Linked DNA regions of Cricetulus griseus. The main gene of each other region encodes a partner of the protein of the gene in region 2 in a complex. Links are inferred from orthologs where the notes say so. Each region holds a gene or a part of one and is shown on either strand. Other genes may lie near its edges.

The links. Proteins that work in one complex are often made in the same cells at the same time.
Region 1: Eid3 (region 2) and Nsmce1 share a complex: the UniProt entries of both Homo sapiens proteins name them as parts of the SMC5-SMC6 complex. The link is inferred for Cricetulus griseus from reciprocal best matches to the Homo sapiens genes EID3 and NSMCE1.

The regions. Positions count from the first base shown.
Region 1 is NC_048596.1:75,351,178-75,354,323, reverse strand, and holds the end of Nsmce1 (non-structural maintenance of chromosomes element 1 homolog), read right to left. Parts: intron 2,437-3,146; coding exon 2,320-2,436; intron 1,373-2,319; coding exon 1,252-1,372; intron 801-1,251; coding exon 721-800; 3' UTR 560-720; downstream 1-559. UniProt on the Homo sapiens protein: RING-type zinc finger-containing E3 ubiquitin ligase that assembles with melanoma antigen protein (MAGE) to catalyze the direct transfer of ubiquitin from E2 ubiquitin-conjugating enzyme to a specific substrate.
Region 2 is NW_023276806.1:152,476,464-152,480,142, reverse strand, and holds the start of Eid3 (EP300-interacting inhibitor of differentiation 3), read left to right. Parts: upstream 1-854; 5' UTR 855-980; intron 981-3,567; exon of another isoform or gene 3,568-3,638; intron 3,639-3,679. UniProt on the Homo sapiens protein: Tissue-specific component of the SMC5-SMC6 complex, a complex involved in repair of DNA double-strand breaks by homologous recombination.

The sequences.
Region 1 (3,146 bases), on a different chromosome or scaffold from region 2:
CGAAATCAAAACAGGGTCTCAGCAGGGTGTGGCATGTCCAAAGGGGATGGAGCCAGGGGCAGAGCAGGATGAGGATAAGGGGTGGGTTCTTGTTTGGACAGTAGCTGTTGGGCCAAAGAGCAAGGGCTGGACAGGATTTGAGGACAGTGTGATATAGATGCAAGGGCTGGACAGGATTTGAGGACAGTGTGATATAGATGCAAGGGCTGGGCAGGATTTGAGGAAAACACAAGGTTGATGCCAGGGACAAGAAGGCTAGACTGACTCTCAGGTTACCTTCTGAAATAACTGGTGGGTGGATGGGGGACAAAAGGTCCCATGGGAACAGCACAAATCTAGTCCAGCTCAGCCTTCGGGGGCTACTGACTTGAGGCCACAGTGGTCCTACTATAGCCGTAGACACCAAGGCCAAGGTAATGGAACAAAACCACAGCGAAAACAAAACTGCCCAGAACCAGACACAGAGACACCTGGCCAGGGCTGACAGTGGCTCTGACCCAGTGCTGCCACTGAGTTCACTCACCTCACCATGGGGAACCCAGCCCCACACAAGCTCTAGTTTGCAGAGCACAGCAACCATCAGGAAACATTTACTAAAAATATGTTAACAGCAAATATCAACAAGGGAGGCAGTTCATGTGCCATGTGGATGGCCAGGCCCCTGGTCTAAATGGGCCATGAGGGTCAGCCCACCAACAGCCAGAGCCATGCAGGACACAGCTAATGCTGACGGGTCCGCAAGGACTTTCTGCTCGACTTGGAGATGCCAGCCTCCCTCTCCTTCTCAGGGTCGAAGACTTCTGTGTATAGAACAGCAGGGAGACACAGTGAACATCATGATGAATGGACTGATTCCACAGAACACAGCTGATGTCTATAGCTATCCCCCCATGCAGAGGACCTGTCCTGTCTGTAACCCTCCTCCCCCAGCACGTGAGCCAGGCAGCAAAGTTCAATGAGGGAGCTGAGAAGTGGCTTTCCCATCCCTCTTCCTGGATGGCTAGGAGAAAAGCCTTGTGTGGGACTCTCACAAGCCTTGAGGTTTCTAGTGGATTCTAGGCCCTTTAGACAAAGGCAGGCAGGTAGCTTTTGCCTGTGCTTCATCAGGACACCAACACTGACCTTCATGCTCAGAGTCCTCCTCAGCCTTCCCTCCCAAGGTGCTCTTGATACACAGCCTAAGAACTGAGGTCTCACAGACAGCCCATCACAAGGCCACCCCATCCTATGGGCATTCTGGAGGCCGTGTACCTGGAATGTCGTGGGGCCAGAAATCATTACAGTGAGGACAGCGTGGTTCAGAGGTGGACTGGAAGTACTTGGCCACACAAGGCAAATGCATCCTAATACCACATGTCTCACAGCTTTGACCCTGAAACAAGAAAGGCTGATGACCATGGAGCCAGGACATCCCTCAACTTCACAAACATTCAGAAAGCTGCAAGAAAATGGCTAGCAGGTTGTAGTGTTTGAACTTCCAGACTCCAACTTAATGCTGGTAACAACCCCAAGCTCTACTGTAGGGCCTGCACTACAGGAACAAGTGTACATAGGTGGGAGAAGCTGAAAACCGCACCCCCCACCAAGCTTCTGTAGCTCCAGACTCAGGCTCACTGCTTAGAGATTCCCCAGTGGGAGGTATAGACATAGAGCTTTGCAGTAGGCCAGTGGCAACATGTATCACGTGCTTAGGATCCACACAAGCATGGGGTAAGCCACAGACTCTACCTCCAAGAATCTGACCATAGAAAGATCACAGACATCTGTGGATACTCACACAGAAACTCAGCATAGAGCCTGGTTGCCCAAGATAAAAAGAAGCAAACATGGCACCCAGCCTGCAAAGTTCAAGTAAGAAGCAGAATGGTAGGGACAGAGAGACATTTATCATAGAGCTACCAAGACTTAAGCTACTTGGGTTTTAATTAATTCCAGATATAGTCAAGTTGGCAACCAAGAATAGCCATTACAACCAGTAAACCGAAGTTTTGTGTCTGTGTTGTGATAAAGCTGTTGGAGAGAGAGATGCTCAGTGGTTAGGAACATGTTCAGCTCTTGCAGAGAACCCATGTTTGGTACCCAGCATCCATACTAGATGGCTTTCAACCAACTGTAACTCTAGTTCCAGGGACCCTTTCTACTGAAAAGTTATCACCCAACACCCATCAGCACCTTGGGCTAGGAACTGAATGGCCAGGAGGAGAACTAGGGATGCACCAGCAGGATGTCTGTCCAGAAGGTGCCTGATCCTGGGGGGCAACAACAGTGAGGCCCAGTGGGCTGAGCATCAGGATCCTGCTCCCACTGTATCATCAGTACCTGGATGAGGAGGCCGTGGCAGATGTTGCATATCTTCACAGCATCCGGGTAGGTCTCTCGGATGAACTGCTCCATCTCCAAGATGGCCCGGCCATGCAAGGTGAACTCCCCCTCCTTCTGCGGAGACACAATACACACTGGCTCAGTGCTGACTCCCCTGATCCCACAGCCCAGAGTGCAGGAGGTCAAGATCTGGATGCTCTAGTCACTGCAGGCTACCACCAATCCCAGCCAACCAATGTCAGCAATGTCCCCTTAGCCAAACCTCAAGAAAGAGAAACTAAGATAGAGATCAAAAGGACAGTGGAAGTGAGGATCCTCTCACCTTCAGACCCTCCCTTTGCCTTTACAGATGTGATGACCTCACGATAGACAGTGGAGGTGAGCATCCTCTCACCCTCAGACCTCAGACCTCAGACCTCTTTGCTCTTACAGATGTGATGACAACTCCATCTTCACCGCTGCCCCACAAGTGAGTCACAACAGTGTCTTCAGCGAAGGAAGACTGAGGTCAAGTAAGAGAGGCAGTCTCCCAATGAGCCACCCGAGACAACCCCAGCCAGGTGCCCACTTCTCCTACCCCTTCCCACCGGTGCTCCCACATCACTGCCAGCCCTGTCACTTCACTAATGAAGCAGGAAGGAGCCCCTGTATCAGTGTGAGTGGCAGAGCCTACAAAGGAAGCCAGGCCTCCTGGTCTCCATGTCTGGGTACAGTCCATACTCCAGGAAGGCCAGGAAACACGAGCTATGTTGTTATATAACTACGTAGCAAACACCACCACCAGTCAGGCAGAGGCAAGTCTGCTGGAAGGGCTTCGTCACAGT
Region 2 (3,679 bases):
GATTTATACATATGTGGCAGTGTGCCGAATATGAGTGATAACATTAAGAAATTGCATGCCTTTACAGGTATTTTCACATGCTAAGAAACTCCATGATATTGTGCCGCACATGTCATGTTTTTCAAGTGGCTTGCCCTTCCCGACCTAGGCTGTTATTTAACAGGGCAGCTGAGACTGCTACACAGCCCTTCCCTAACTGAAGGAGGCGGTGCAGCCTGTCCTGTCTGCATTTGAGTCCTGTTTACAGTATTGACTGGCTGCTCCAACTTGTGCAAGTTGCTTGGCTAGAAGTAGCTCAGTTTCCCTACCTGTGAAATGGATGTGGTAATACCTACGTCTAAAATACAGCTGTTAAGACTAAATACTATATATAAAAACATTGCATTATATCATTATGCCATGTTAACTGTTGATATTAGTACTGAATAACTATTCTTTCAAGTGCTGGTATCAATATAGCTGTGGGCTCCGTTTTTAATTGTCCCAGACTTTACCGAGTTTACCCCTTAGTGAAATGGGACCATCCTCCCCTGATGTCATCCAGAGCGTGGATGGACTGTGGTTTCAGATTCCAGGAAGCCCTGGCTGTTGCATCCTCCAGGTGCAGTGTCAAAAGCCAGACCATGCTGGGACGAGCTAGTGTTGTGTGGTCGCGAGGTCGGTGTCTTTAGCTGCCCCTCAGTGCTTCTTTTGAGTTCTGGCGGACCTGGAGTCTCGTGGTCCGGCAGCTTGCGGGTCGGAGTCCACCGGCGGGAGTGCCCAGAGGGCGCGTGGCGTCCCGGAAGCCCCGCCCGGAGGAAGGCTCAGTGCCGCTCTGCTTTGTGCTACAGAGGGCAGGCGGGGCCTGCGGCGGCGGCGGCGCGGGTGCGAGCGCGAGCGAGCCCAGAGAGGCCGCAGGACGCGGGCCGAGAGAGGCCGCAGGAGGCGGCGAGCAGCGGAAGGCGCGTCCGGAGGAGGGTGGCCATGGTCCAGCCCTGAAGGTAGGAGCTGCGTGCTCCCCAGCCCCGATCCCGGATCCCCAGCCCCGGGCCACTACGGGCTGCCGGCCCACGTGCTCAGATCCCTGAACCGAGACGGCAAAGCCAAGCCGTTTCTTTTAAAGTGACCGTTCAGAGTGCCCTTTGCTTGGGTTTCCCCCTCTTTTAGCCTCCAGCGGCAGGGTGAGTGGCCTGGGGAAGTCTTGAGAAAAGGGCATCAGGAAATGCTTACGCCTCCCTCATCAGACCGCCCCGTCTCCTTCCTCTTTAATTCTCTGAGGCGTGGGCCTCCTGGAAACCCCAGGCTCCGAGGAGCCCCCGGGAATCCCCTGGGTTGAATTTGTTTCCCGGCAGGCATTTCTTTTCCTAGCTCAGAGTTAACAGTTGTGGCTATAAAGGAATGGAGTCTACCCTCCAGTGGCAAGTATGCTGAACGTCTGCTTTTGGTCCATCCACTTGGAGAATTACAAAAATGAAGTCAGATCTTGGGGATCAAACCCCGGTGTCCGTGCGTGGTAGCAAGTGCCTTTCCCCACTGAGCCATCTTGCCAGCCCCTTTGATTTTCAGAGTAACATATGCTGGAGCGTTGCCCTCTTGGTGTAAGGCCTGCTAGGTTTAAGAACATTTATTTAGTTGTATGTGCTGTTAAGAAGGACGTTAACAATTGATTCACATTTTTATTTAGTCTTTGCTTGCTTCTAAAAGAAACATACTTTTTTGAAGAGTGAATATAGGGAATGGAGCTAGACTTCAAAGGCAAACAGCAAATGGATGGAAACTAATTAAGGGAGATAAAAGGCTTTTACCTGTAGTTAAAGTAGTTGTGTAACTCAGACCTTTAGTGTTCAAGTAAAATAACACAAAGACCTAGTAATGGGCCTTCCTGGGGAAACCCCACCTCTATTGTAGATGTATATTAAGAAGTTACAATCATTTGATTTCTACATAATCTTATTCATGCTCTTGATTTTAACATCAGTGGAGTTAGTTTCAGGCTTTTGTGAGTTACACAGTCACGAATGAAAGAAATATGTACATACCATTTACCATACACATAGAGCTGTTCTTTTTGTATTTTCCTTTGGTTTTAATGAGCAGCGCCAAAAGTGGGAGGAGACAGAGCAGGTAAGATTCAGTATTGAGAATTTGAGCCATTGTTTGCCACAATGAGTATATTATAGACAATGAGAACTTTGGAAGGGCTCGGTTGGCACAAATGACTACTTAAAGAGGCTTTGTGCAGATGTTTCCCCTCCTTCCCTTTGTGTGTGTCTGGGGTGGGGGGGTTGGGGGTAGGGCTGTGCCAGGATTGGACAGGGCAGCACTCATTGTGGGTAAATGCTCTACCACAGAGCTGTAACCCCAGGGCAACACTTTAGTGTTGTCTGTTTGTAGTGCTGGGGGTAGAACCCAGGGCTCTTCACTTGCTGGGAAAATGTTGTTCCACTTAACTACACCACATTCCTAGCCCTTTGTATTGTTTCTCTTTTGAGGCAGTCTTCTATGCAGATCAACCTGGCCTTGGAGTTATGTTTTCTCCTGCCTCTGTCTCCTTCAATGCTAGGATTACAGGTGTGTGCCACCAAGCCTGGCAGCATCTTATTTTGTCTTTAGGGCAAGAATCAGAGTGTGTATGTGTGTGCTCATGTTTGTACTTACCATGATGTTCATATGAAGGTCAAAGGACAACTTGTGTGATTCCATTCTCTTCTTCCACCATGTGGGCCTCAGGGATTGAACTCATGTTGTCAGGCTTAACAGCTGGTACCTTTCAACACCAAGCCATCTTGACTTTCCTGATTCCAGAGTTTTGAAACTACCCATGTAAATGCCTCTCTTGGTAGCACTGAGAAGAAAGAGCACAGTGAATGAAAAGGTATCCATTGGAATACTACCAGACATAGTTAAGTCTTCAGTAGTTTGAGAGAAGAGTTGTGGGTGGTAAGATTAAAATTGGCCACATGAGACTCAATTTCTTTTTTTTTTTTTTTTTTTTTTTTTTTTTTGGTTTTTTGAGACAAGGTTTCTCTGTAGCTTTGGAGGCTGTCCTGGAACTAGCTCTTGTAGACCAGACTCACCTGCCTCTGCCTCCCGAGTGCTGGGATTAAAGGCGTGCCCCACCAACACCCGGTGAGACTCAATTTCTTGATGGCAGGAATAGAAGCTGTGACAGGCAGGCAACAAAGCATTGTGAGGTTCACCTCCAAGAAGGCGGATCCCAGTTGTGTTCATTTGTAGTTTCAAGCCTCCCTAAGTTAGCAGCAACCCGAACTCTTCTTGATAGCCATCAGAGAAGGGCACTCAAGCATCTCACTCAGGTGGGCCTCACATTCAGAAGGCTTCCTCCCTAACCTGGCCGGCCTTCTGCCTGATTGCTGCTTGTTGCTGCCAGATCTGCTTCCAGGATAAAGAGCTCACTTTTCAGTGTGGTGTTATATACCTTCTTGGCTGGGGCCAACGTGGTTTTCTTTTCATCTCCTCTCCCAAACTCCTGTAAGCTCCTGGGAATAGTTCTCTAGATCTCCCCACCTTGCTGGTTTCTTTACATCACTTTCTGTGCAGACACACATTACCTCTGTGTTTCCACAGCACCCCACAAATCCTTATTTCTGGAAAGGGAGGAACCCTGCCAGAGACAATTTTCTGCCTCTCTTATCAAGGTAGGTTTTCTTTATATGGCTGTGTTGTTTGCACGGGTGTG